5 linked regions of the Ovis aries genome follow. The protein of the gene in region 1 interacts with the protein of each later gene in a pairwise test. Links are inferred from orthologs where the notes say so. Each region holds a gene or a part of one and is shown on either strand. Other genes may lie near its edges. The genes, in order: PCBD1, HNF1A, FXR2, TFF3 and HNF1B.

The links.
Region 2: the proteins of PCBD1 (region 1) and HNF1A interact in binary tests that used the Homo sapiens proteins (3 or more experiments, as listed by UniProt). The link is inferred for Ovis aries from reciprocal best matches to the Homo sapiens genes PCBD1 and HNF1A.
Region 3: the proteins of PCBD1 (region 1) and FXR2 interact in binary tests that used the Homo sapiens proteins (3 or more experiments, as listed by UniProt). The link is inferred for Ovis aries from reciprocal best matches to the Homo sapiens genes PCBD1 and FXR2.
Region 4: the proteins of PCBD1 (region 1) and TFF3 interact in binary tests that used the Homo sapiens proteins (3 or more experiments, as listed by UniProt). The two-hybrid records come from large-scale screens. The link is inferred for Ovis aries from reciprocal best matches to the Homo sapiens genes PCBD1 and TFF3.
Region 5: the proteins of PCBD1 (region 1) and HNF1B interact in binary tests that used the Homo sapiens proteins (3 or more experiments, as listed by UniProt). The link is inferred for Ovis aries from reciprocal best matches to the Homo sapiens genes PCBD1 and HNF1B.

The regions. Positions count from the first base shown.
Region 1 is NC_056078.1:26,302,866-26,308,435, forward strand, and holds the start of PCBD1 (pterin-4-alpha-carbinolamine dehydratase), read right to left. Parts: upstream 3,522-5,570; 5' UTR 3,434-3,521; coding exon 3,431-3,433; intron 862-3,430; coding exon 730-861; intron 1-729. UniProt on the Homo sapiens protein: Involved in tetrahydrobiopterin biosynthesis. Seems to both prevent the formation of 7-pterins and accelerate the formation of quinonoid-BH2. Coactivator for HNF1A-dependent transcription.
Region 2 is NC_056070.1:63,316,185-63,321,263, reverse strand, and holds part of HNF1A (hepatocyte nuclear factor 1-alpha), read right to left. Parts: intron 4,593-5,079; exon of another isoform or gene 4,409-4,592; intron 4,319-4,408; coding exon 4,132-4,318; intron 3,333-4,131; coding exon 3,091-3,332; intron 2,234-3,090; coding exon 2,082-2,233; intron 1,972-2,081; coding exon 1,770-1,971; intron 1,151-1,769; coding exon 959-1,150; intron 1-958. UniProt on the Homo sapiens protein: Transcriptional activator that regulates the tissue specific expression of multiple genes, especially in pancreatic islet cells and in liver. Binds to the inverted palindrome 5'-GTTAATNATTAAC-3'.
Region 3 is NC_056064.1:27,151,860-27,157,709, reverse strand, and holds the start of FXR2 (RNA-binding protein FXR2), read left to right. Parts: upstream 1-2,358; 5' UTR 2,359-2,726; coding exon 2,727-2,807; intron 2,808-5,850. UniProt on the Homo sapiens protein: mRNA-binding protein that acts as a regulator of mRNAs translation and/or stability, and which is required for adult hippocampal neurogenesis. Specifically binds to AU-rich elements (AREs) in the 3'-UTR of target mRNAs.
Region 4 is NC_056054.1:263,246,085-263,251,904, reverse strand, and holds TFF3 (trefoil factor 3), read left to right. Parts: upstream 1-2,453; 5' UTR 2,454-2,498; coding exon 2,499-2,583; intron 2,584-4,163; coding exon 4,164-4,310; intron 4,311-5,584; coding exon 5,585-5,598; 3' UTR 5,599-5,760; downstream 5,761-5,820. UniProt on the Homo sapiens protein: Involved in the maintenance and repair of the intestinal mucosa. Promotes the mobility of epithelial cells in healing processes (motogen).
Region 5 is NC_056064.1:13,734,586-13,740,200, reverse strand, and holds the start of HNF1B (hepatocyte nuclear factor 1-beta), read left to right. Parts: upstream 1-1,866; 5' UTR 1,867-2,043; coding exon 2,044-2,387; intron 2,388-5,615. UniProt on the Homo sapiens protein: Transcription factor that binds to the inverted palindrome 5'-GTTAATNATTAAC-3'. Binds to the FPC element in the cAMP regulatory unit of the PLAU gene. Transcriptional activity is increased by coactivator PCBD1.

The sequences.
Region 1 (5,570 bases):
TTAATGAAGCAAGACCCAGGTTAGTATTCTGAGAGAAAGGACAGCTGGGCTCTCTTTACGGCCAGTGTGAGGCCCAGAAGGAGGAGGATGGCCCCGATCCCTACAAGGTAACCTTTCTAGCTTTAAGCATCCCTCCTGGTGCCCTGCCACTAGCTCTGAGGCTGGAGTTTGAGGTGGTCCTTCTGCAGCAGAAAGTCTTATCACTAGGACCACTAAGAAGGCGGAAATCCCAAAGAGGTTTTGCGTCTTGGCCAACCTTTAGGTTATCTACTAAAATGTCTTCAAATAGTCACCTGTTTCCCACTTGAACTGTCTCCTCTTAGGACTATTTCTAAAAGTTCCAGGAATGGAGAGTCCATGGCTTCCCTGGTGGCTAAAGAATCTGCTTACAATGCAGGGGACCCAGGTTCGATTCCTGGGTCAGGAAAATCCCCCGGAGAAGCGCATGGCAACCCACTCAGTATTCTTGCCTGGAGAATCCCATGGACAGAGGAGACTGGCAGGCTATAGTCCATGGGGTCGCAGAGTCAGACACGACTGAGCGACTAACACACAGAAAATGGAGACAGCCCAGGGCCTATCTTTAGCTAAACTGGATGAAGACAACCAAACTGGATTCGCACAGCATCTTGAGAGTCTTGGCTTAAAGTACTCTAAGGGAGGGAACACGTTCTGGAGTGTGACCCCATCAGCCCCGGTCTCAGGAACTGTGTCCCACCCCAGTCATACCCGATTAAAGTCTTTGAAATGGAACTGCTTGAAGATGGCATCCCGGCCTTCCAGCTCGTTCCACCCCACGGCCCGCAGGTTTGGCAGCAGCTGGTCCCTTTCCTCAGCACTCAGCCTGTGTGCTTTGCCAGCCTAGGAGAGGGAAAACACAGACGCTCAAGGGCACTCCCCCCCCCCTTTAAACAGGACAAAAGAGAGGGCCCTGGGCTGTTGGGGAAATTTAGCCAGCCTCCACTGGTGGCTGTGGTAACACAGTCAAAGGGCAGCTTGTCTAACGCAACAGACTGGGAGGAGGGGCTCTGGCTCGGGCACTGATAGGTTCTTAGAGAACAGAGAGTCCTGAGGTGTAACGCCAGTCACCGGGGCAGAGAAACGTTCCTCCCTGCGCCTGTCCTCAGAGCTTTCAGAGGGCACCTCTCCATTTAAAAATCAGATCTCTTTCATTCATGAGAGAATAAAAGCAAATCCTACTGTGACTGTGAACTGAAGAGGAAACAGGCCTAGAGAGGGGAAATGACAGCCCCCTCTCCCCGACTCCCCTGTTAGTGAAAGCACAGGCATCATTCTCAAGATGGGTCCATATCCCTGGGGACTGGCAAAGGAACCAGCACTTAAAACATATCCCAGGAGATTCTTAGCTATTGGCACTACCTCCCAGTGGGTACCCCACCTCGTTGCTACACAGCCTCTGGTTCCCAGCTGCCAGGCCTATGTTTCTTTAATTTCTACCTTCTTTTCAGCTTGTCAGCTTGTCAGCTTGAGCCAGAGCTCAGGCCCGAAGCAGGAGTAACTTGGCCAAGGGCAAACAGACAGGGCAGTGCCTCAGCCTATTTTCCAATTGTGCAAAATATCCCTGGGGCAGCCCAAACTGGCACCATTCAGGCTATGAGGGGAACCTTCTCTTGGAAAACAGAAGAAAGGAAAGGTCCGTGCTCCAGCCTCGTAAAAAGATCCAGGTGGAGGAGCTTAAGGGATCCTAGAATTTAGGCCTGTGAAGTAGAATTACCCAAGGATGGACATTGTCGGGAACCAAATTAAAAGTGAATTAGTTAGGTCTGGGAAAAGAATATGAGGGAGGTTAATTTAGTTTTGATAAGGCAGCCTGCAAACTGGAAGCCAGGTGGCCTGGGGGCACTCATTTCTCCTGCTTGAAGGGTAAAAAGGTACAAGAACTGCCACTTTAGGAATCAGCAAGGGGAGCCAGGAGACACTTAACTCCATTGCTATTGAGGGGATATTATTTGCATTTTTAAAAGGAGACTTCTTGAGGCAAGCAGGTCTATGATAGGCCTTCAGGTGTGGGTTAGAACTGAACAAAACACTGCAGGGTCCTGGTAACTCAACAGTTTTCTCCCTCCTAAAAAGCGTGGGCTCTCTCTGGACAGATCTGGATGGGTCCGTCTCCTCTCCTAGGCTCTGTAAGATCAGCAAGGACAGCTGAGATTTACATCACCATTCAACCCAGTCTCTCTTCCACAGCCTGGCCCTGTCTCAGTGGCTGATAAGCCTGGTCTATGTATCCAGGCAACCAGATGGCAGCTAAGGCATCAGAAGCTACTACCTAGTACGCTGACTCTGAAAGGAGTGCATGGGTACTAGCGGGCTCCTAGGAGGCTCCCCTTTCTCTTTAGAGTCTTCTGGAATCCCCAACATTTCACAGCCTGGGGCTGAACTGACAAACCCCTCTGAGATCTGGGCTCAGAGAGGGAGCAGGGGCAGTGTTAGCTTAGTAAATCCCAGGCCAGGCCTGGGCCTCTGGGTGTGCAGAGGGGTTACTGATTACCCACGCCCTGCAGCTGCGGAGCCTCAGTGTACCTCACAATCAGCTCACCCACCACCTCCCCTATGTTCAAGCCAAGGTCTCCAAAGTGCCCTCCCAGGTGTCACCGCAGTCCCAGCTGCTCCTGATGCTTTGGAGCCTAACGTTTTTGCTGTTTAGTAAAGGTCTGGGTCTAGAAGCGTCCCTTCCTGCTGCCCTGCAGGTTCACCTTCATCTCTATAGCTGAGCATAGGGCCTGACACTCTGCTCCCAGAAAGTTCAGCCTGGAGGGCATATGATCCTGAGCAATCACGTCCCCACTGCCGGGCACAGGCCTCAAACTAGGCGCCAGAGGCTGGCCCTGAGGTCCAGGCTCCGCAGAGGGGGCTCAGCTAGACCTCATGCCCCGAAGTGCAAGCGAAAAGGACAGTAAACAGGCAGGCAGAGGCACACGGGAAATTCAGCCGCCCCTGCTTTGCACACCCACACAGGCATCGGTCTCCTCGCCGCTGCACCCCGCCCCCGCCAGCCCCCATAGGACAGGGCCGCGCCACCGAGGGGACTAGGTCTCCGGGCTAACTGTGCGGCCATTCCCCATCCCCGTCTCACCGCCCCCTCCCTGCCCGAGGCACCGAGGCCCTGAGCGGACTCTGGCCTGGGCTCCCCGCTGGCTGTCACTGAACCTGCCACCGCCCGTCTCTCGGCCTCAGCGACCCCGGCGGCACCACTGCGGGTAGGGTGGAGGCGGGACCGAGACCCCGACTCCCCCCGCCCGGCGCGCGGCTGCTTCGCTAAGGCCTGGGCGGGAGGCTCCCCCGCACGCCCAGCGCGGTCCTCTGGCCTGGGCGGGGAGACTGTGCGGGCCCCGGCCCTCCTCCGCTCCTCCCGCGCGTCCCCGCCGAACCCGCTGCCCGCACGGCGGCAGCGCGTGAGCCCCCTCACCATGCCGGACGCGGGGGCGGCAGCAGCAGCAGGTGGCCGCGGAGTCCACCGGCGCGACGCCCGGCGCTCTCGGAAGCCGTCGGGCGGGGCCGCGCTCGGGCCGCCCCGAGGCGGGAGCGCGGCCGAGAAGGAGCCGCCCACCGGTAATCATTAACAACCGCTGAGGTTCCCTTCCAGCACTTTCCTCGGAGGCAAAGTTACAGGGAGCTGGGGGAGTTCAGGACCCGGGCTCCAAACGCGGACTTCAGTATTTGCATCGCGCGGTGCCGCCTCCTATGTGACTCTGGGCGCGAGATTACTTTTTCTTTCCTACAAACACCTCATTGAGAAACTGACCCTCACAATAAGCTCCGCATATTTCAAAGGTACACTTCGATGCGTTTTGACGTAGTAGGCATCTGTGCAACCATGCATCACCACGTGGTATGCATCGCCGCGATGAAGATCATGAACATAGACATAACCCCTAGATAGCCTGCTCCTAACTCAGACAACCCCTAACCTGTTTCCCTATAGATAAGGTTGCATTTTCTATGTGAATGGTATGTGAATGATATGTGAATGGACAAAACATTCCATTCTTATATCTGCCTTCTTTCACTCAGCATAATTACTTTGAGGTTGATCTGCGCTTTTGCATATATCAATAGTTATTTAATAGTGTTACATTGTGTTGGAAGTGTTACAGTTTGTTGGACATTTGGGAAATGCTACAATTTGTCTGACATTTGGGTTGTTTCCAGTTTTTGACAGTTAAAGCTGCTGTAAACTTTTGGGTGCATATATGCTTTCGTTTTTCTTTCATATGCAGGGGTATATGCTTATAAGTTGTTAGGAAAACTACCAAACTGCTTTTCCAAGTGGTCAGATTATTTTACATCCCCATCAGTAGTGTATGAGACTTTGAGTTCCCCCCCACCTTCACAGGTGCACAAAAATTTGCCATGTCAGTCTTTTAAATTTTAGCCATTCTAATTGGTATGCAGTGATATCTCACTGTGGTTTTGAGTTTCCTTAATGACTAATGATGTTAAATACCTTTTTGATAGGGACAGAGTAAAGGGATAGAGTACGTGATTAAATAGTTAATCCCACAAGGGGATGGTAAGTAGAAAAAAGTATAGGAGACCCCTGTAAGTTAATGGTTACTCAGGAGAGCAGGTTTGCTTAACCACAAAACCAAGTAGGCTTACTTAGCAGCTAAACCATGCAACAGAAGCATAAGACATGCCCCCAAACAATGAAACAATGGTGGCTTGAGACCTACATCCTGCCCAGGGAACTCAGTAAGTTAATGATCCCTAGGACATGCTCTCTGCACAGATTAAAAAAAAAAAAAAAAACAACCAAAAAACCACAATAATTTGTGAACCTAACTTAACCATGCAGGGACAAGAAAACTCCCTACCCAACCTGGAGGAGGAACTGATGATGGAAGCATGACACCTACTCAGGAAAGACAGAGAAGTTCTCCTTCCCACTTTTCCTTTGATTATAAAATTGTAGCACACTAACTTCTGGGGAATGGCATCCTCTCGCCCACTTGCTTGTAAGCCTCACATTATTTATTCTAATAAATCACTTCTTATCTATCACTTTGCCTCTCACTGAGTTCTTTCTGTGCCGAGACATGAAGAACTGTGTTACTGGAGATCTTCCTGGTGTTGGAGAAGACTCTTGAGAGTCCCTTGGACTGCAAGAAGATCCGACCAGTCCATTCTGAAGGAGATCAACCCTGGGATTTCTTTGGAAGGAATGATGCTAAAGCTGAAGCTCCAGTACTTTGGCCACCTCATGCGAAGAGTTGACTCATTGGAAAAGACTCTGATGCTGGGAGGGATTGAGGGCAGGAGGAGAAGGGGACGACCAAGGATGAGATGGCTGGATGGCATCACTGACTCGATGGACGTGAGTCTGAGTGAACTCTGGGAGTTGGTGATGGACAGGGAGACCTGGTGTGCTGCGATTCATGGGGTCGCAAAGAGTCAGACACGACTGAGCAACTGAACTGAACTGAACTCGGAGCCCCAGGAAACAAGAGCAAATGGTTAAATTTTCATGTGTTTATTTGCCAATGACCCATCTTTGGTGAACTGCCTGTTCAAATTGCCTGTCCATTAACAACAACAACAAAAGCAAC
Region 2 (5,079 bases), on another chromosome or scaffold:
CAGATGAAAACACAGCCACCCACAGACACACATAAATGGTGCCCTCCACCACACGCACACAGACATCAGGTCCACAAATCCCTCATCCAGGAGTCCAGGTTCCAGAAAGGTCTGAAAACTAACCGATGTTCATCAGGTTAGTGCTAGAGCTTGTCTGGTGGCGAAGTCGGTCCTGAGCCTATTAACCTTGCTGCTGCTGCTGCTAAGTCACTTCAGTCATGTCCGACTCTGTGCGACCCCATAAACGGCAGCCCACCAGGCTCCCCCATCCCTGGGATTCTCCAGGCAAGAACACTGGAGTGGGTTGCCATTTCCTTCTCCAACGCATGAAAGTGAAAAGTGAAGGTGAAGTCGCTCAGTCGTGTCCAACTCTTAGCGACCCCATGGACTGCAGCCCACCAGGCTCCTCCGTTCATGGGATTTTCCAGGCAAGAGTACTGGAGTGGGTTGCCATTTCCTTCTCCAACGCATGAAAGTGAAAAGTGAAAGTGAAGTCGCTCAGTCGTGTCCAACTCTTAGCGACCCCATGGACTGCAGCCCACCAGGCTCCTCCGTTCATGGGATTTTCCAGGCAAGAGTACCGGAGTGGGTTGCCCTTCATGGAATTCTCCCTTTGGCCGCAGAAACAGTGGTGTTTGATGAGGGGGTGTTGGACCAAGCCTTGCTGAGAGTGTTGTATGTCTTCATGGTATATGCACCATATCACCTTTCTAAGAGCTGAGAGGTACACATGGCCCCAAGGGCACACGTGGGTGTGTACACATGACCATATGGATTCACACCCTGAAATGTATTCAGCCCATGGACATGCATCTGAGCACCCCCAGAGCCCCCATCACAGAGGCACTCACACTTCTGTGAGTATCAGACACACACACAGACCACAGCATCTGCCATGCCGCCCCTTCCCCTGGGTTCCCGCCCCCCCGCCCCCAGCAGGGGGCCAAGGGCTGCTCACCGTGGGGGCTCTGCAGCTGGGCCATGGTGGCCATGAAGGGGCTCTGGGCCACGTGGCTTTGCACAGAGGGCATGAGTGGCTGCTGATAGGACGGGTGCAGCGGCTGCGAGAACTGGACGGGCTGCAGGGTGGTCAGGCTGCTGCCCATGCTGTTGATGACCGGCACGCTCTGTGCCTGCGTGGAGGCCAGGCCTGGAGTGGTGGGAGGGGCAGGGGTCGGCCAGGCCTCGGAGACCACCAGGGGCACCATCCCTCCCTCCTAGAGCCTGTGGCTTGGAGGAGGGGATGAGGTAATCCGGAAACAGCCTTGTACTGCGTTAAGGCCCTGGCAAGTGACTCCCCCTCTCTGAGCTGCTAGCTCGCTATAAGGGCAGGGAGTATGTCAAAGAGGGTTCCTTGGTGCCCTGGGGTTCCACAGCCCGTGCAAAGGCCCTGGGGCTTAACTCTGTAACCCTTCCCCATATATTGAGCTTCTGCATAATAGTTCTGTGAATAAAGTCTCTGAGCTTTAAAAAAAAAAAAACCCTAAAACCTAGGAAACGTCAGTCCCCCTTGCGCTGCTGTTTTCCCGTAGCTGTTTCACCGTCTCAGGTACTGTGTAACTTAATGTATTGTTTATCTGCCTCCCCCACGTGGGTGGCTGAGTTCTGGGGCTCTTTGGTTCACTTGTGTGTCACTGGTGGAGCATGGGGCAGGCACTCAATAAATCTATGAATGAATGAGTCCCAGTGGCTCTCCCTATTCCTGGATTCAGCGGGAGCCTCCATGAGCCCCTCACCCAGATGGCCCCCTTCCAGCCCCACCAGCTTACCAATGACCAAGGTGGAGGCTCCCGTGTTGGTGAACGTGGGGCCCAGGGAGGCAGGCTCTCCAGGCCCAATGGCCATGACCCCGGGAAGCGAGGCCATGATGAGGTTCTGGGGCTGCTGGCTGAGGCCTGGAGAGGTCTGCTCCAAGCTGTGCAGTGCTGTCAGGGTGCTGACCGGGGGCAGGGGGCCCCCAGTGGCTGAGACCTTGGAGGGGAAGCCAGACTGAGTCAGGGCGGGGCCCCACCCTGCCTCCCTGGGTACTGCCCCAGAATCTCCCAGCCGAGGGGAGATGGGGGAGGTGGGGGGACACTCACCAGCTTGGCCTCTGTGTTCAGCAGGCTGTGACTGGGCTCCAGGCCGGTGGGAGACACTTGATGCAGGGATGCAGACACCGTCACCAAGGGACCACCGCTGCTTGAGGGCACTTCCGCCCCCTCACTGGTGGCAGGCTGTCCATAGCGCACACCTGGAGTGGGAGCAACGTCCAGCCTCAGCGCCCCACTTCCCTGCCTGCGCCCACGGCCCCCAACACCCCTAATTGTATTGGCTTGTTCAGGCCACTCACACTATCTTTCTCTATGCAGCCAGCAGATTTTGCTGGAGTATTCACTTCCTGCCAGGCCCTGTGCTGGCTGCTTGTTCAACCCCTTGAACACAAGCTTTGTGTTTTATTAGCTCTGTGGCCCCCACTGCCCAGGGCTACACCAGACACACAGTCGGTGCTCAGTGAAAGACAACAGAGCCAAACTGAACTGAGGCTAATGAAATTAAACCGCAGCAAACTTGAGCAGAATGAATTGGAATTAGTTGAATGAAACTGATCAAGCTGAAGCAAACCCGAAATGAACTGAGATTGATTGAGTTGAACTGGATCAAATCGAATTGGATTGAAATTGAACTGAACGATACGAGATTAACTGAATTTCCTTGAAATACATTTAGTTAAACGGATCAATTGGGAATGGGATTGGACCAAACTGTATGAAATGTAAATGAAACTCAGATTATAGTGAGTTGAACTGGATTGAGTTGAATTGAACTGAGCTGAAAGCAGTTGAGTTGGCTTGATCGGGAATGAATTGCTGTAACCCAAATCCAGTGGGGTTGGAGTGAATGCAGTGGACAGAAGAGAGGGCAGTGGATGGAGCTGAGTGGTCAGAGGAGAGGAGAGGGGTGGGGCGGATAGGGCAGTGTGCATAGAGCTGGAGCCATAATGAGGTGCCAAGTGGCTTGTGTGGCTTCAGTCCTTGGGTGGTGCTCCCCAACTCTCCCACTTACCCCCATATTCCCACTGCCCGGTCCCCCTGCCCACATGGCACTCACCGTGGACCTTACTGGGGGAAAGGGCAGGCGGGGGCAGACCAGGGGAGCTGTGGGCAGGCAGCACAGGGCTGGGACCTGGCCCCGGCGGTGGCCCGCTATACGTGTCCATGGCCAGCTTGTGCCGAAAGGCTTCTTCCTTGCGGCGATTGGCAAACCAGTTGTAGACACGCACCTCTGTGACGAGGTTGGAGCCCAGTCCCTGGGCCTGCGACGGTGACACGCCCCTCTGGATGCACTCTGCCCTGGAGAGATGGGCACTGTGAGCCTTCTGGGGCTGGGGGAGGTTCTGAGAAGCAGGGCTCTCTACCTGAGAGTCAGCTGAAGCTGACAGACCTGGCTTCCGAGCCCAGTCTGCTCTGCGATCTTGAGCAAATGGCTTAGGCTCTCTTGAGTCTCTTCATACAGAGGGAGCGCAGTAAGCGGAGGGCGGGTGAGACGAGCAGCCCCACTCAGGGGCGCTTGGGTAGGCGGGGCAGCAGCTCCTAACCGTTTTGGCACCAGGGACCGGTTTCACGGAAGACAGTTTTTCCATGGGCTGGGGAGCGGGGAATGGTTTTGGGGTGATTCAAATGCATTGCATGCATTGTGCACTCTGCTTCTGTTGGGGCTTCCCTCTGCCTGCAATGCAGGAGACCCAGGTTCGATCCCTGGGTCAGGGATATCCCCTATAGAAGGGAATGGCTACCCATTCCAGTGTTCTTGCCTGGAGAATTCCATGGACAGGGGAGCCTGGCAGACTACAGTCCATGGGGTCACAAAACGTCGGACACTACTGAGTGATTAACAGTTGTTTCTATTAATATTACATCGCTCCACATCACGTCAGGCATTAGATTTGGAGGCTGGGGACCCCTGGGTGGGGGGTGGGTGCCAGAAATAGAGCCAGGTTTCAGGCCCTGAACAGGAGCTGAGAACTCCTGGGCCAACAGCAGGAGCTCTCAAAACCAGGGGGCCTCCCTCAGGATCTGGAGCCCTCCTTACCTTCCCCAGCCTCTCCCCAGCCCAGACCCAGCCAGCCCTGCCGACCGCCAGCCATCCTACCTGTTGCACTCCTCCACGAGCGCCTCTCGCTCCTCCTTGCTGGGGTTCTTCTGCCTCTCATAGGCCTGGAACAGGATCTGCTGGGAGGCTGGGCCCCATTTGAAACGGTTTCTGCGCCCCTTCTTGGTAGGTAGCTCATCTCCTGCAGGCTCTTCAATCAGCCCACCCTGGCCTGCGTGGGTGAACTCTGTGGGCACAGAGAGCTGTGAGCAGGACACTGGCCAGCCCACCTTCCCGCATCAGCCTGAGCATGCCTCTGCTTCTTCCTTATTCCTAGGGTGCTGAGCCAGAGGAGCTTGCTGCTCGAACCCAGAAACCGCCTACCCCTGTGATGACAAACACACATCACACACGTCACCCTTTGCCTCACGTGCGTCCAAGGCAGACATCACTAATCAACCCCTGCACACTTTTCTATTGGGCCACGATATAATCTCACAGTCCTCAATATAAGGCTCCAGGTAAGCATCACCTTTCATTCACATTGGACACGTATGCCATCCCATTTTACAGAAGATGTAACTGAGGGTCAGGGAGGTTAAATATTTTTCCAGGGCCACACAGTAGAGCAGAAACCTGAGCTTGTATCTCCTGAGTAGATTCAAGAGTTATTTTCAACATTCTAGCCTTGAAAATCAAGCCTAAAGTACAAGTATTAGCCAGGAGAGAAGAGACCCAGCCACTTTCTCAGCTGATTCTTTGGTAGGAGGCCAGTTAATGGCACCTCCAAATAACAGAACAGCTAGCTGCCCTTCAAACAGCAGAGGAAATATATATATGTGTATATATATAGTATATGGCTCATGTATGCACGGGGGTCATCCCTGGTGCCTCAATGTTCACCATAATCTTGCCAGGGAAGCCCCATGGACAGAGGAGCCTGGAGGGCTACAGTCCATGGGGTGGCAAAAGCCGGACACGACTAAGTGACTAAAGAGCAGCGCTATA
Region 3 (5,850 bases), on another chromosome or scaffold:
AGTTGAGAGTTTTATCATGGGATCCAATTTGTTTCTAAGTCACTTTTCTCTAGACATCTAATTTTCTCTTATAGCTTTCACGATGTCTAATGTGCTGATGGAATTCCCTAGTAGCTCAGTTGATAAAGAATCTGCCTGCAGTGCAGGAGACCCAGGTTCAATTCCTGGGTGGGAAAGATCCCCTGAAGAAGGAAATGGCAACCCACTCCAGTATTCTTGCCTGGAGAATCCCATGGACAGAGGAGCCTGGTGGGCTACAGTCTATGGGATCGCAAGAGTCAGACACAACGACTAAACCAGCAATATGATGATAATTCTCACATTTGCCTCTCTAGCCCAGACCTGTCTTGGGCTATGTCCATTGACCTACAGGACATTGGTTCCTTTGGTTATTACTTGCTATGCCAGGAACTGTGCTAAGTACTGGGTATACAATACTGGGGACAAACAGACACATGGAACCCAGTCTCTGATCTCACAGGGTTTACTTATAGTGGGACGGCAGAAGACAAACACTGGAGAAATAATGAAAATTATAACTATGATGAGTACCATAAAAGAGTATATGATGCTTTAGCAGCATGAGGTAGAAGACTTAACCTAGTGTGAGCATAATGGAAGGCTAAATAAATTATTTTTAATTGTCATACTGAGTGAAGTAAGTCAGACAGAGGAGAAATATCGTATGACATCCCTTATATGTGGAATCTAAAAAGAAATGATACAAATGAAGTTACAAAAGAGAGACTCAGAGAATGAACTTATGGTTGCAGGGGGAAAGGATGTGGGGAAGGGATAGTTAGGGAGTTGGGGATGGACATGTATGACATATACTTTATGCTCAGTTGTGTCTGACTCTCTGTGACTCCATGGGCTATAGCCCGCCAGGCTCCTCTGTCCATGGGATTCTCCAGGCAAGAATACTGGAGTGGGCTGCCATTCCCATCTCCAGGAGATCTTCCTGATCCAGGGATTGAACCGGTGTCTTCTGCGGCTCCTACATTGCAGGCAGACCCTTTACCGCTGAGCCACTGCACTTACACTACAGCTTAAAATCTTTCAGTGACTCCGTAGTATTGATAAAGTGAAGGCCATTCTCCTTAACCTGATTTATAAGTGCTTCACAGTTTAGCTTCCCTACTTCAAGCCAAATGCTATTTGAACTAGTTGTGGTTCCCCAAAGGACATGTTTTGTTTTTTTCTGCTCCTCTGCACTGTTTATTCCTTGTTCTCTCAAAAATAGTTTTACTGCATTTTTCCTCTAGCAAACGCCTACTTATCCCTCAAATCTCAATTTGCATTACCTCACCTGTAGTGGTCTTTCCCTATCATGCTGAAGGGCAACTGACCATTGTTTGTGTCTTTGGGATTCCCTCTATCCTAGTCCTCATCTTTAACACATCTTCAGATGAACTCTAATCACTTTATTTACTTAAATGTGATTGTCTGCGCCATTTCCAATATATCATAAAATCCTTGTTTTGGGTAACTGGAACACAGTGAGGGCTAAATAAATATTGGCTAAATGATTAGCTGCACACACATGATCCTAATTTCTTGGCTATTTTATTCACTTCTACTTAAATTTCTTACTTAGTTTATGAATCCTAAGCTTCCCCTCAACTATCCTTTCTCTAACAATTTTTCCCATTTTGAAATCTCTCAGCATTTAGATAATAATCTTGTGCCAAATTGCATTTGCCTTTCGGTAGTGTCTTGAAATCTTTCTTTAACCTTTCATCATATGCAGGATCAGAATCTTCTCAAGGCAAGAAGGTGACTCTTAATTTAAATCTTAACGCGCAGAAACAGAAACACTCAAAAGAGTCCATACCGGCATGTGGACTGTAAGGCCCAGAGCACGCGCACTAGGCCCATTTTTGCTTTTCGACTCCTCCTTCCCGCGCCCTCCCCCCGCCTCCCGCCCCGGAGCGTGCGCACCAAAAAGACAAAGGTGGAGAAAGTGACCAAGCAATCATTCAGGCGCATGCCCGTCCCTAACTTCTCCAAGCCTGGTGGAGCGCACAGCCGTGAAGTGGGTGTGGCCTGACCAAGGAGCATCAGAAGCCCAATCCGATTGAGTGAGCTCGGCCCCTCCCTCCCCATGATTGGTTAGCTCTCTGTGTTGTGGGGCGGGGAAAGGCAGAGACTGGGCGGTGGAATGGTGGGGTGGCGAAGAAAGAGAGTCAGTTTGGTTCTGCGCAAGCGTAAATCAGCGACCAGGAGGGGGCGTGAGAGAGGCAAGAGGAGTGTGGAAGCCCTGCTGCGCTGGCCAGCGAGAGCTGGGTCGCCAGCCTTGACGCGTGCGCCGTGGCCCTCGGGGCCCGCGCGCGGCGGGCGGGTGCCCGGTGCGTCTGCGCAGTAGGTGGCGGCGGCGGCAGAGGGAGGAGGAGGCCGTGTAGAGGCAGCGGCAGCAGTGGGTCCCGGGACTGAGGCTGCAGCGGGGGCGGCGGCGGGCGGAAGCTGAGGTGACGAAGGCAGCGGCGGCGGCGGCCGTTTTCCTCACGGTGGCGGAGACCAAGGCGGCGGCGGCGGACGGGGAGCGGCCCGGCCCCGGCCCCCTGCTCGTTGGCTGTGGCAGGGCCGCCGTGGGGCCGGCCCGGCTCCCGCCCCCCGCGGCTCCCCCTCCAGCTCCTCCTCCAGGGAGACGCCGGGGACCTGGCCCGGCCCGTACTCAGAGCGCTGCTGCAGCCGCCGCCGGGGGAGTCGGAGGCGGTGGCGGCGCCATGGGCGGCCTGGCTTCGGGGGGGGATGTGGAGCCGGGACTGCCCGTCGAGGTGCGCGGCTCCAACGGGGCCTTCTACAAGGTGAGGCGGCGCGCCGGCCAGGGACGCGGTCTTCAGCCCCCTCCCTCCAGCCAGAACGGGGAAGAGTGGGGTGGGATCGAGGTTCTGGAGCTAGCCCTGACCCTTAGAACCTTGGACCCACGATCCCACCCGCGGCCCTCCTTGGGGGAGACTTCTGGAAGTTAACCCCTTATTTTTGGCCCCTCTGTTACACCTGCTTTTACCCGCATCTCTGGGAATGAACATCAGGGCATTATTGTGCTTGGATCAGCGCCCCCGCAGCCCCCAGGAGAGACCCCATTTACCCTAGCGTCTTATTGACTTTTCCTGTCTCCTAATAGAAGGCATACCTTGGATCTTAATCACCTCTTCCCCACAGTCCAAGCACATGGAGAATTCTCTTTATTCTCCCCTATTACCCCCTTGGGAAAGCCGTCCCATATTAGATCCTTTCATCTTCCTCGGAGAGGCCTCTGCCTACTGGCTCTGAAAGACTCACTCCACTTTCATCTTATATTTCTGTTCCCACACCAAGGAGAAACGGTCAGAAGCTGTTTATGACATTTAGTATCTTTGACCTCAGGAACTCTGGGCTGTATCAGTCTAGTTGCCTCCTAGCCATAAGGTGGCATCTTTTCACAAGTCTCTCTCACCCCACCCCTTTATTTCCAAGGCTAGTTGGTCTGCTCTTCTACTGGAGGATGGTTTTGTATTTGTCATCTCACGTTGACCTCATACATTCAAATCATTCATATAGTTTCTTCATTTTGAGGAGTGTGAGCTTCATACTCCTACTCTCTATCTAAAATGAGATCTCATGAGGATTACTTCTGTTTATCTTTTTCTTAAGGATTTCCACTTCTAGAAGACTTTTGGTCAACCTGCCCAATTTGGAAACCCAATAGTCTATTTATTTATTTTTTTTAAAGGAGAAGAGGACTGTCTTTACATTTTTAATATTCATTTATTTGGCTGTGCAGCATTCAGGATCTTAGTTTCTGAACCAGGAATCAAACCCATGCCCCCTGCATTGGGAATGCAGAGTCTTACCCACTGGACTGCCAGGGAAGTCCCCTGAATCTATTTTTTAGGACACTTTTTTCCCCATTCATTTATATTAAGCTAGAGGGAGACCCCTCTTGCCTCTCAGGAATTTTTCTTTTGCCACTGTTGTTATGTTGTTAGTTTGAACCGCTTTGTGCTTTATGCCTGGGATTGTCTCAGAGACTTTCCTGCTTCCTGACTTGTTCTCTCATTTTGCCCTCATCCATTATTTGTGAGGACAAGAGCCCCCTTTCCTCCACTTCCCCTCAAGCCTTTCCTCCCGTAGTGGACCTCTCCACCTTGGTATCTTGGAAATGACTTTCCTTCCCTGTGAAGTCGTATCTTGCTATAACTGGAAAGGGTCTCATATTAGCCCTTGGAGTAGGTTTCTGCCCCAGCTTCAATTGATAAGTTCAGTGGTCATCTTTGACCCACTCTAAATGCCTATTCATTCCTGCCTGACTTCCCCTCACCAGATTTCTTTATATTCTTCATTGCCTATGCGTAACCTCATCTGTCTTAATTTCTCAATTTAAGTCTGTGGCTTTTTATCCTAGTATTTCTGCATAATCCCCCAAAACTACCTATTCCATGACCCAGCTAACATGGAAGAAGGAAGCTCCCAATTTACCCCTTCTTTCATTCTTTTTCTACATACTTTCCTAACTCATGGGACTTTTTTCTCTAGCATGCCTCCATACCATTTGTTTTCTTTGGCAAAGTCTCTTAATTCCTTTCTGATTCTGATAGAGTACATTTGTCTCTTATATCCTTTTCCCTCAGGCTTGCTTACCTTTGTTGAAATACCCTTTCTCATAAGATTTTAACCTAATTTCCCACAATATCCTGTCCTTCATCAGGGTCCTTCCCAGCCCCAAGAAAGTGCTTCTTAAATTGAGTCTGAGATCAAGATATAATGTTTGCTTTTGTTCCAGGAAGCATGGGAAAGATCAGTATCCAGTTTGAATTAACCGTGTGAGACTGCTGGGAAGGGGCATGTTTCCCTTTCCACATATAAGTGTCAAGTAGAAAGTCTGTCTCTGAATCTTTCTCTTTTCTCCTGTGGGCTATATGGCAGTGATAGACTTGATTCAGTGAATCAAAGATAGGATGCTTTGAATCAGAGAATAGAATTTGGAGTTCAACTAAAAGCCAGGTAATATGGAGTTTGTATTTTGGCCACTTTAGCATTTTCTGCTCCTTGTCTCATTTGAACAACAAAACATCCTTAAATTCAGTAATCTTTCTTAACTTTCAGTGCCATATACTTACTGAATCTGACCTTGCTGCTGATTTAATATTCATGACTCAGCAGACTTCAGTGTGGTTCAAGGAGTGTTTACATTGCTTCTAGAACTATAAATCTGGGGAGGTTCCGTGCATCTCTCTCAGAAATGGGTCCTGTTGTTTTTTTTCTTCTTACAAGCTAGAACTGAAAATACCAGAAGTTATCTTGTAGCTATCCCATCAACTCTTCCTTTTCTGTCAGAACTTAATGCACATATTTCCTTAAGGTGTACTCTCCCAAGTGAACTATCCGTTCATCTTCTCGGGCATGGCCATCCAACTTTCTAGACCTTACCTGGATATCCCAATACCTACTCCTTTGTTAAGGATATAGCATCCACCTATAAGCCAAAGCCCATTTGCCATGACTGTTGAATTGAATTGAGTCATCCTTTGGATCTAGGTAGCCTTCTAGAGATTCACTTAACTGCTCTTGCCCTCCCTTGCTTATCTTCTCAGTGAGCATGGATTGAGCAGAACGAGGAACTCACTTTCTACCACTGGTATCTATGAAGGAAAAAACTGGGATAATGTGAGTGGAATTAAGGAGCAGAGAGTGAATTGGAATATGAAATTGAGGAGAAAGCTTGTTTTGGAGAATCTTTGACAAAAAAAAAAGACCTTAGAAGTGTAAGAATGAGTGATGTTTTGTTGAACTGCTGAGTAATGTGAGGGAAAAGTGCATTTTTTGTGAATGATTATATCTAGGAGTGGGGAATCTCTTCACAAAAAA
Region 4 (5,820 bases), on another chromosome or scaffold:
GAGCAGGGCCTGAGGAGTCGTGAGGTGGGACCCAGTGCCTGCTTCCAAAGCACGTGCAGTCCCGCCCCATCAGTCCCTTGGGGAAGGGCAGTGCTAGAGATGAACCCCTGGCTGGTTTGGGAACCCCTCGAAAACCATACCCCTACCTGGGGGTTAAGTGCAGCCAGCAGGTGTGTCTGCCCCGGGATGGTGGACAATTCGCACCCCACGGTTCCTGGATCAGAGTTCAACAGAGAGAGAAGAATGCCCTGTTAGGAAGGAAGCCTGGAGAACACACCACGAGACCCCACGCTCCCCACTCTCCCCGCCAGTCAGGTGCAGAGGGGGCTGGCGTCCTCGATGGAGGAGGAGACCGCAGGGTCCCACAGAGGCAGGTCGATCGCAGCTCTGCCAGGCCTGCTGGGTGACCTTTGGCAGATGGCCGGTAACAGAGAGGAGCAAACCCAACTCCATACTGCAGCTGATCTTCAGCTCCAACCTTCATGCCTATGGACGACGGATGGACAGATGGGTGGATGAATGGCATGCGTGCTCATTTGTGTCCGACTCTTCGCGACCCGCTGGACTGTAGCCCTCCAGGCTCCTCTGCCCATGGAATTCTCCAGGCAAGAATACTGGAGTGGGCTGCCATGCCCTCCTCCAGGGGATCTTCCTGACCCAGGGGTTGAACCTGCATCTCTTGTGTCTCCTGCATTGGCAGGTGGGTTCTTTACTGCTGGCGCCACCTGGGAAGCCCTCTTGTGCTCTGTGGCTGGAGCCTAATCATGATGCCCCTTCATCTTGGTACAAGTAGGTCACCTATAGCCTGAAATATGCAATAGCCCCTTCTCAAGGCTCTGCCTCCCAGCCTTAACCTTTAAAGGTAAAACACATTTCATTCACATAGAGATAAAAAGTTGCAGAGCAGAGAATGTTTGTCCTGTTGGAAGTTTACAAGAACATGGTGCCTAGACCTGTGTGGGCTGCTGCAAGAAAAAAGGTCCGGGGTCTAGCTGGTACCAAGAGGTTTGCAGCAACCACCACGCCCCTCCCCTTTTAGTGGAAAGAAACCTGAATTCTAATTCAGCTAAGACAGTTCTTTGGAACATGGGTCCACCATCTTCCTGGATTCTTGGCTTTCCAAATGAAATAGCTACTGTTGCTCCAAAACGCATCTCTCGATTTATCAGCCTATTATAGCACCAGTAGTATGGATTTGATAGCAACATTTTGAGCCTTAGTTTGTTCCTCTGCAAAGTGGGTATAATTATTCCCATTTCATTTAGATGTGCTTTTTAATTAATTACTTTTGTTTTTTTGGTTGTGCTGGGTCTTCCTTGATGCACAAGGGCTTTCTCTAGTTGTGGAGAGCAGGGGTTACTGTCTAGCGTGGTGTGTGCACCTCATCGTGGTAGCTTTTCTTGGTGTAGAACACAAGCTCTCGCCTCAGGGCTCAGTCGTTGTAGCACAGGGGCTCCACAGCTGTGGCTCGAGGACTCTGGAGCTCGAGGGCTTCAGTAGCTGTGGCAGATGCGCTTTGTTGCTTCACAGCAAGTGGGATCTTCCTGAAGCAGGGACTGAACCCTTGTCCCCTACTTTGGCAGAACAGATTCTTAACCACTGGATTGCCAGGGAAGCCCCTAGATATGTTGTTATAAAATAATTTCTAAGCTTTAGCTTTCATATTAAAAAAAATGGAAAGGAAGCTGGGCAAGGTAGAGTAAGTTCCCTTTTGTGTGAACAAATGTGCTTAAAAGTACAGAGGACATTCTGGGAAAATACCTAAGAACGTGTGAAACTTGGACAGTGTCACACAGAAGGGGCAGAGCCTTCTGTACTGTCTGCCTTTAACAACCAACTGCAGGTATTGTATCTTTATTAAAACATACTCAATAATTAATACATTTGTTAAAATGTAGTTGATAAAAATAATTTTTTGCTGGAGAAAAAGCAAAAAATAAAGAAAAAGCACTTCTACATTTCAAGAGCTGTGACACAGAAATGAAATCAGCACACCCCGTGTACCTGACTTGTAGTTGTCACCTGTCTTTTCAAGTACTCGAGGTTGGCCTGGGATTAAGTGGCCTGGAAACTCATGTCACTGAGCAGGGACCCTCCTGACCTGCTCCTGGGTGGGTTGTTGGGTGGTGCCCAGGCCTGGCGATACTTCCTTGAGCCTCACACTGAGCCTTTGTTCTTTCCTCCTGGCCAGGCTGACAATGGGCGTTGACCCTGCTCTGGCTCCCTGATACAGAGGTGTTCACAGGCAGCTGCATCTGCCATCGCCCCTTACTCGCTACCACAAAACAGTGGGGTGGGAAGCACCTCTACCCTTGGGATGGTCGAGCCTCTGGGGACTTTGTCGTCTCGTGCAGGGCAGGAGTGGGCGGGGCTGGAGGGAAGGGCTCCCAAACAAACAGAACCCGGAGTGCCTGTGTAAACACAGCGGTATAAAGGTGTCTTCTTGGGCAACTCAGCATGTTCTCTGAGCGGTCGGGTCCCCGAGCCAGCCTGTGACCATGGAGGCCAGAACATTCTGGCTGCTGGTGGTGGTGGTCCTGGCCTTGGGGTCCTCCAGTTCGACCGGGCAGTACGTGGGCTTGTGTGAGTACCGCTCCAACCCCCTCCCACTGGGCAGCAGGGAGGAGGAGGGTCTGGGTGGCAGAGTGGGAATACAGGACAAGGGGACAGGACATGGAAGAGCCAGGCTGGGGGCTTTCTGTGGGCTAGAGGAAAGTGACCAAGCTCCTTAATAATTTAATGATTGCTACTTTAGCTACTGGACACAAGGAGCTGACTCATTGGAAAAGATCCTGATGCTGGGAAAGACTGACGGCAAAGGAAAGGGGGGTGGCAGAGGGTGAGATGCTTAGATAGCATCACCGACTCAGTGGACTAGATAACTCAATGGACGTGAGTTTGTGCAAACTCCAGGAGATAGTAGAGAGCAGAGGAGCCTGGTGGGCTACAGTCCATGGGGTCGCAAACAGTCAGACACGACTTCATGACTGAACAACAACAAGCTTACCAGACACACACATTTTCTCTCAGCAGCCCTACAAACTGGGTCTTGCTGTCCCCATTTTGCAGACAAGGAAACTGAGCTTCAGAGAGTTAGTAAATGACTCTGCTGGTCAGTGTGGAAAGCAGGATGGGAACCCTGGTAGCCACACCAAGCCTACCCTCCCACTGCCTTCTTTGCTGGAGACTTCTGAATTAACAGTATAGGTCTTTCTACATTATTCTGACACATTTGCAAAACACAAAGAAAAGACAAATGAAAACAGCCACTTCCAGAACATTTTCAATACCTACAGTTTTCATTTAGCGACTCAATTGTAATTCCAGGTGGGGCATGGCTGTTCCACTAATTGGATTTTGCAGAAATTAAAGTGTGGCTTTTATCAGGTTCTGAGTGGTCTCAAACTCGGCACCTGGAATCACCTGGAAGCTTTTAAATCTCAAAGCCCAATAGGATGTGCCAACTACATCAGAATGTCTCTGGGTGGGAGCAGGTGTCACTGGTCCTGACCCCAACGTGAGCAAAGTTTGCCCCAGTGGAATAAGGACTTATGATTTGGCAGCCGTAGAAGCAGATTCTAGGTTCCCTGTGAATTCTATTTTCCTAAGGAAAAATCCGGTTAAGGCATGAGGCACAGCGGACTTTTGCTGAGCTTCTGACATAAAGGCTTATCTGAAAAGTGAATCATACAGACCCACAGATATACAGGCACGGTGTGTCAAGGGAAATAGGGAGAGGCAGAAAATAGCACAGGTTGCGGTTTTCTCACTTGAATGCCTACCTTCTATTATCCTATTCATTTTTAAGGAGGAAGATCTGTGGGGAAAACACTGAAGGGGAACTTTGTTTCCGGGTTCAGGGGACCCTGGATTCCTGTGGGTACCTGCCTACTGGCGGGAACCCAGGCTCCACAGGTGCTAGGAGCAGCCAAGTGAGAGACCCCGGGCAGCTGGCCAGATCTTTCACAAAACCGTTCTCCTGAAATATTTATGGGGAAAGAAGGCCCTGGAGCAGCAGATGTTGGGAGAGGGGTGGGGTTGTATCCTATGAACCGGGAGCTGGGGGTGGGGGGTGGGGGGTGGGGCGTGCGGACTTGTAAATGCGGCCGGCGGACCAACCCCAAGCCAGAGAGGGCTCTCTGACCCGGCTTTGTGTGGGCCAGCGGCGAACCAGTGTGCGGTGCCGGCCAAGGACAGGGTGGACTGCGGCTACCCCGAGGTCACCCCCGAGCAGTGCAACAACCGCGGCTGCTGCTTCGACTCCAGCATCCCCGGGGTGCCCTGGTGCTTCAAGCCCCTGCAGGAAGCAGGTGAGCCCTGGGAAGCCACACACACCTGGGCCCTGGGTGGGCCCCCCTATGCCACAGCTGTCTGCTGGGCAAGGGGGGGGTGCTTCCCAGGTGGCACCAGTGGTAAAGAACCCACTTGCTGATGCCGGAGACACAAGAGACGTGGGTTCAATCTCTGGGTTGGGAGGATCCCCCGGAGGAGGGCATGGCAACCCACTGCAGTTTTCTTGCCTGGAGAATCCCATGGATAGAGGAGCCTGGCGGGCTGCAGTCCAGGGGGTCACACAGAGTCGGACACGACTGATCATGCATGCACTTAGTTTTTCATCATTTCAGAAAGGTGTTCAGAGTCAAGGCCTTATTAGAGGGAAATAGTTTAAAAGCTCCTCTGGAGAAAAGTGGACAATACCTGGGTTTGGAAAACTGGGCTGACTTTCAAGGCTGTTTTCAGCAAGCACCCCACTCAGAGTCTCGGTCATTTGTGATCTGTGACGTGCTCTCTGTCTGGACGTGGAGTCCTGGCATGTCTCCCCACACCGCCACTCCCCTCCTGCCCCCACCACGAGGGGCTCCCCGTTTCCTGGCTGGGGCGGTGGGGTGCAGGGTGGCCCCGGGGGACCCCGCCCTGGAGCAGCTGGCAGTGCCCTGGGTGCTCTGCTGTCCTGGCTGTGTCCCCCGCCCCCTGGCCCGTCCCCCATCTCCACCCCTTTGGAGGTTGCCGTGAGCCATCTGGAGCCCAGGTGCCAGCTCACCTTCTAAGAGGCACGTACTACTCCATGAGGCCCTTTCCTGGAATCGGCACAATGGCAGGGGAGTGGCGGGGGAGATGGGGGCATGCTTGCCCTTTGTCCCTGGGGAATGACAAAGGCGCCTGCATTCCAGCCAGCCGGTCTGCCTCCCTAACCAGTTATGGGGGTGGGGGGCTACCCATTGCCCAGGGCTCCTCCCCTTCCCACAAAGGTCCAGATCAGGCTCTGGGCCCAGTGGGGAGTCACCCCTGTGCCGATCATTACCCCCTCCACCCGCTCCTCAGCTCGAGATGATACTTCTTTGAATTCTAGCAGCGGCCCTGTCTGGCCTGGTCCATCTCAGGCTCCATTTGTCCTGACCCCTGGGGTATCCCTGGGGTATGGGCTGTTCTCCCAGGAGGTGGGGACTCGACCCTTCCCCAGGGACTTGGCAGAGAGACAGCACACACCACTGACCTTGGAGCTGGTCTGGACCTGGAGAAGCCAGGCAGCGGTGGCTGGGGACCACACAGCTGAGGGTGATGCTTGTCTGTGCTTCATTTCCAGAATGCACCTTCTGAAGCTGCGTGGCCGCCTGACACCCAGGGAGGGGACCTCCGCACTTGGGTACCTAGCCTGCCCACCCTCATCCCTCTGCTTGTCTCACACTGCTCCTGGCCAGGCCTGAACCAAACGCCTGGGGCCTGATGTCTTAAAGAATAAAGCTCCCGTGCTCAGCATGAGGACAGGTCTTCATTCCTAAGAATTGACGCCGCTGTGTTTTATTTCTGCCAAGTCACTCT
Region 5 (5,615 bases), on another chromosome or scaffold:
CCCTGAGTGGGGAAAAGTCCCCTGGAGAAGGAAATGGCTACCCACTCCAGTATTCTTGCCTGGGAAATCCCATGGACAGGGGAGCCTGGTAGGGCTACTGTCCATGGGGTTGCAAAAGAGTGGGAGACAATTTAGGGACTAAACAACAACAACAAGCTTCTTAACAGCCTGACTTGGATCAACCACATCTGAGTTTCAGCCCTGGTACCTGAACCAAGCAGACAGATCTGATGACCCTCCCCAATCCCACTCCTATTCCTGCTGAAATTCTCCTCCTCCTCCTAACTGTCTTTAAAAGGTGGGAAAGTAGGGAGACTTTGCTTAGAAGCTCTTTTGCAAATGCCCTGTTCATTCTGAATGTTTGTCCCTAAGCTCCCAGGCCCTCCAAGCCCAGCGCTGAATTTGCTTGGTTCTGAGAATCCTGAACCTCCCTAGGGGCTGCTAGATTTCACTATTAGGAACCGACTGCCTGCCTTCTCAGAAAAGTGTGAACACTGATCCTGGAATACAGGGTTTCACAGGTGGGCTTATTCAATGTACACAATGCCGCATCCTCTGGGCTTTAGATTTCAGTATTTCTTAGGTGATGAACCTGAGGCTTAGAGAGGGGAAGGAGGTGTCCTCTGCCCCAGGAACTATGGGACTGTGAGCCATGGGTCCTAAAAAGCCCCTGCTGCCCTGGATCTTCTGCAGGTCCTGGGCAGCCTGGAGTCGGAGCACCTCGGGGAGATGCCGGTGAAACTCCGATAGCGCTGAGAGGTTCCCGGCTTCCTTCCTGGACCGGGCCGGCGTGAGCAATCACTTCTGTCCCTCGCTGGCTTGGTCGGTCCCTTCCCAACTAGGCGTGGGAGTCGCCAGCCACCGCCGCCTTGACCTCGCGTCCACAGAGATCAATCTCTGGCCCTGGGAACTGCTGTGTCCTGGAGCTGCGAATAAACCAGAAATCAGTGCGCCCAGAAGACGTGCGGCTTCAACTGTCCAGCCAGTTTTCACCGCCAGAACGGAGGCCCCGCAATCCCAGTTTTGCCCCGAAAGCGCGCTTTGAGATTCTGGGTTTTAAAGCCCAGGGGCCCGGGCGTCCAGCTGCCCGCGGCTTGGCCAGGCTGGGTGCCGGTGCGGCGCCGCGGCACCCAGTTAGTCGGCGCCTCCTCTTCCCAAGGGTCCTCCCGGCCTCCTTCCCGCTGGCCTACGCTCTGCGGCCGACAGTTCTGCAGATCCAAGCCGCCAGCCCCGGCGCCCGGAGGCCTGGGGTCGGCAGAGCGGTAACCCAGGTAGAACTCAGGGCCCGCCACCCGCCCGGCATTCCACACTCACCCCCGCCCAACACGCCCCTCTTTCCCCGGGTCCCCGCGTCCACTCCCCTGCGGTCAGTTTCTTCCTCCGCTCGCCCGGCTCACCGGGCCCACCACTTGCAGGTTGGTCGGGACGCGTGTGAGGGTCCCGCTCCTCCGTCTCCTTCTCCCAAGAGCACCCCAGCTTCCTCCAGCCCTCACCTGAGCCCCCGAGCACAGTTTCTCCTTCTCTCCGGACTTAAAGCCGGACCCGCCGCGGGTGGAAAAGTCCCGGCGCCTTGCACACCAGGCTGCAAGCTACTTGTTTAACGAGTCCAAAGGTCAGCTGAAGTTTGGCTGATACACGGAAGCGGCGCACGAATCTCTTCAGCCCCCCGGCGTGAACACCCTGGACCCCAGCGTCCCGGCTCCCGGCTCGGGCCTCGGGCTCTCGGGTCTTCCTGTCTCACTCTCACTCTCTCGGTTCCCCTCCCCCGCGCCCCCCCTCCCCACTATTTGCATCTTGCCGAAAGCCGGGCCCTCCCCGCTAATTTGCATATCTTATATGGCCTAATGGTGGCGATCATGGCAAGTTAGAAGTTTTCTGACTCCTCTCGGAGGAGACTCCGGGACCCCGGGGAGTAACAGGTGTCTGGAGGCTGAAGGGTGGGGGGGGTTCCTGGACTTGGGGCTAGCTTGTGAAACTCCCCTCCACCCTCTCTCGCACCCACCCGCCCGCCCCCTCACCCCCTTCTTTCTCTGTCCTTGGAAAATGGTGTCCAAGCTCACGTCGCTCCAGCAAGAACTCCTGAGCGCCCTGCTGAGCTCCGGGGTCACCAAGGAGGTGTTGATCCAGGCCTTGGAAGAGTTGCTGCCGTCCCCGAGTTTCGGGGTGAAGCTGGAGACGCTGCCCCTGTCCCCTGGGAGCGGGGCCGAGCCGGACACCAAGCCGGTCTTCCATACTCTGACGAACGGCCACGCCAAGGGCCGCCTGTCCGGAGACGAGGGCTCCGAAGACGGGGACGACTATGACACCCCTCCCATCCTCAAGGAGCTGCAAGCGCTCAACACCGAGGAGGCGGCGGAGCAGCGGGCGGAGGTGGACCGGATGCTCAGGTAGGCGCGGGCCGAGGTGCGGCGGGGTGCGCCTGAACACCCGGAGCCCCGGGCCCCGCGGCTGAGCCGCACGGCTCCCGACTGCTGTTGCCAAGCCTGGTTCCCACCAGAGAAGTCCCCGGGGGGGGGCGCTCCGCTTCTCTTCCAACACCTGGACCCCTCCCAGCCCCTCAATCGGACGGCCCGAGCCCCGAAACTTCGTGAATTCCTGCCCAGCCCAGCGCCCGGGACTGGCGGGGCCCTGCCGGCTGTGTTTGGGTTCGGCCTGGGAGAACCGAGTTTGCAGAGCCCTTGCCCACGCGGCCGAAGGTGCGAATGGGCGCAGTGAAACCTCGGCGATTCCCCAGTGCCGAGGCTCCGGGCCCTCAGGAACCCCAGGCCACAAGCAGTTCTCCCGGGGAGCCGCATCTGCGGAACCGGCCTGGGGAGCCGCGTCCTGCGGCTCTCTGCAGAGGGACCGGCGGCTCCGGGGCTGGGATCTGGGGGTCGCCTTCTCCGATGGGCGCTCTCGTCTGCAGCGCCCGCGCAAGCCCCCGAGGTTATCCGGGATCCCCAAAGCCCGTTTGGATCTGAGAAAGGAAATGCTTGCACGTTGTCGGGTTGGAGTGGACTCGCAAGGGGCAATGAAACCGCGTCTCTAGCAAGCGAGGGATCAGTGCGTTCAAGCCTCCAGTTCGCCGTGGATTTGGTGGGAGAAAGGAGGGCGTTCCCGGATCTCGCCGCTGACACCCCGGCATCCCCGGGGAATCCAGGCAGGCCGGTTGCCCAGAGGTCTGTCTCCCGGCCCCGGGTGGTTTGCTAAGCCTTTCTGAGCGGCCTAGGGCTTTGACAGCTTGTTACTGTCGCTCCCAGCCAGGCTACTCTGGGACCGAGACCCTCGCTTGGCCTCGGACCCTCCAGCGCCGCAGTCCCCAGGCAAGGCCAGGGCCGGAGTCGCGCCCGGGACCGGGGCAGCCCGGGTCACCCGCCCGCACTGGCCGTTTGGGATGCGATATGACCTTGCATTTGAATTTGCTACCTGGGGACCCGGCGGCTTACTCTCTAGCAAAACAATCAGGGGAATTTCTAGATTTTTTTTTTTTTTTCTAACTTCCCGAAAGTCTGTTGCTACAGTTAGTTCGTAGGGTTTGAGGTTCTTTCTTGCCTAGCGGTTGCCCCCTTAGCGGCGGTTTCTCCCCGGCCCGGGCTAGGGGTGCAGGAAGGTGAGAGGGGTCAGAAGAGAGCGGCTGGGGTGCCGGGGCGGGCCGGAGATTGACCCCGGGCCGGGAGGAACCGCCGATGTCCGGCCGCCCGGCACCGGGGCCCGCGGGGCCTAGGCCCATCCGCCTGGCCGCAGGCACCCGCCTTCCAGCGGGGTTTTGGAAGAAGAACCTGGGGCGTCCCTCGACACCCAGCCCCGCGCCGGGTTAGACGTGGCAGAGATGTAATATAAACTGAAGCACGTGGAGTTAGGGTGTTATTAATTTATTTCTATAAATCATCAACAGAAAGATACACAAAAAGTCGTGATTAGGTTGAACGGAGAGGCGGGTTATTCATTGGTGAAGTTGTAAACGCGGCTTCGAGAGGGAAGGAAAGCAGAAAGCGGCCTCGCGGGGCTGTTCGCGGCTCTCAGCACACACGCACCGGGCTGCCCGGCCCTCCCAGGAGAGCCCCCGCGCCGCCCCGCGCCCCGCGCCTGACCCGGGCTGCCCCGGAGGTCGCCGACGCCGCAGGCCGGGCGGGCACAGAGCCAGGCCGGCCCTGGGCTCCGGACCTCAGCGCTCTTCGCTGCGCAGAGCTCCGGGCTCCAGGGGGCGGAGAGCCAGGCTAGGGGGCCCAAGACCCCCACCGGGGGCGGGGGTGGGGAACACACAGGACAGGCCCTAAGGTTTCTCCTCCTTTCCCCAGCGGCTGCTAACTTCCCTCCCCCACCTTCAGGAGTGGCCAGACTTGATTAAAGTAATTTTTCAAGAAATCGCCAGCGGTCCCCAGGTCACTGCGCAGTTGGCTGCTACACGCCAGAGGCGCGCACTCCGCTTTTGGTCCACCCTGCTCCGCTAAGGCGGAAAGAAAAGAACAGGACAAGTCACTTTGGGGAGCGGCTGGCCGCTCTTTCCATCTCCAAGAAGAGAGAGACGAGGAAAGCGGGTCGGGGCTGCGCGCTGCCGGTTCCGGCCCCGGCTCTAGGCTGGCGCGCGCGGTGAAAAGTTGGAAAGTTGGTTGCTCCCCAAGAAGCCCCGGTGGAGGCTTCTTAAAGAAGAAATCGCGGCGATCGGAGCCGGGGTCCAGGGCCTCTCGGTTCGTGGCATTGTTTGGAAAGGAGCGTGCTGGGCCGACCAGGCGGGCGCCGAGGTCGGGCGCTTGACACCTGCGCCCTGAGGACAATGCCGGGCGCCCTTCTCCCGATCCGTGTGTTTACCGGGGTTGGGAACCCCAGATCACTGGCTGTATTTTTAAATTTCAAAACGCAACCGACTCTTGGGGCTCTTGCCGGTGAATCCATGAGAATTCTGTGGTCAGAGCTATAAAGGTGTAACTACGCCATCTTATCCCCAGCTCTGGTCTTTAATGCGGGCTGAAAGATTTGCTATCGTTTATATAGTTTCCCTGGCCTTTTGTTTTTTGTTTTAAACCTTTCCAGTCGTTAAGCTAATTCACTTTTTCCACGGAATTATTTACTCTCAGAACATTACACTATTTCGGTTAGGTTTCTTAAACACAAAAAATAAATGCTAGTAAAAACTTTAAACAAAATCAAAAATGTTAAAGAATCTGTCGAAGCAGCATTACCTTTAAAAACCCAAATACTTTTTCTAACTTTCGAAGCTGTTGTTGGTATCTGTTGAAGGTGTTTTTTTCACCCTGAAAATACTGTGCAAGTATTTAGCAGAAATAAACTTTTAAAATGAGTGCTGATGTTTACACAGGCATGTTCAAAATGTTACATTACTTTCCTCTTACTCAAGGTGAATTATCCATATTTGAAATGGACACAGTTCCTCATTTTTTGTTCCTGTTTTTACTTAAATATTGTATTACTTGGAAGTACCTTTATAAATACTTGAGATATTAAGCTATATGTAATTTTGAGTTTGCATTTATCAAAAACATCTCTATCAAAACTTGTGTTCTCATAAATTTAATATCAAAGACTTGCTAAAATAATCCCAATTTTTCAAATGCTTACAAAAATCTGTTTAATTACTAGGTTAAAAAAATTCATGACACAAATGTGATTTTAGTTGA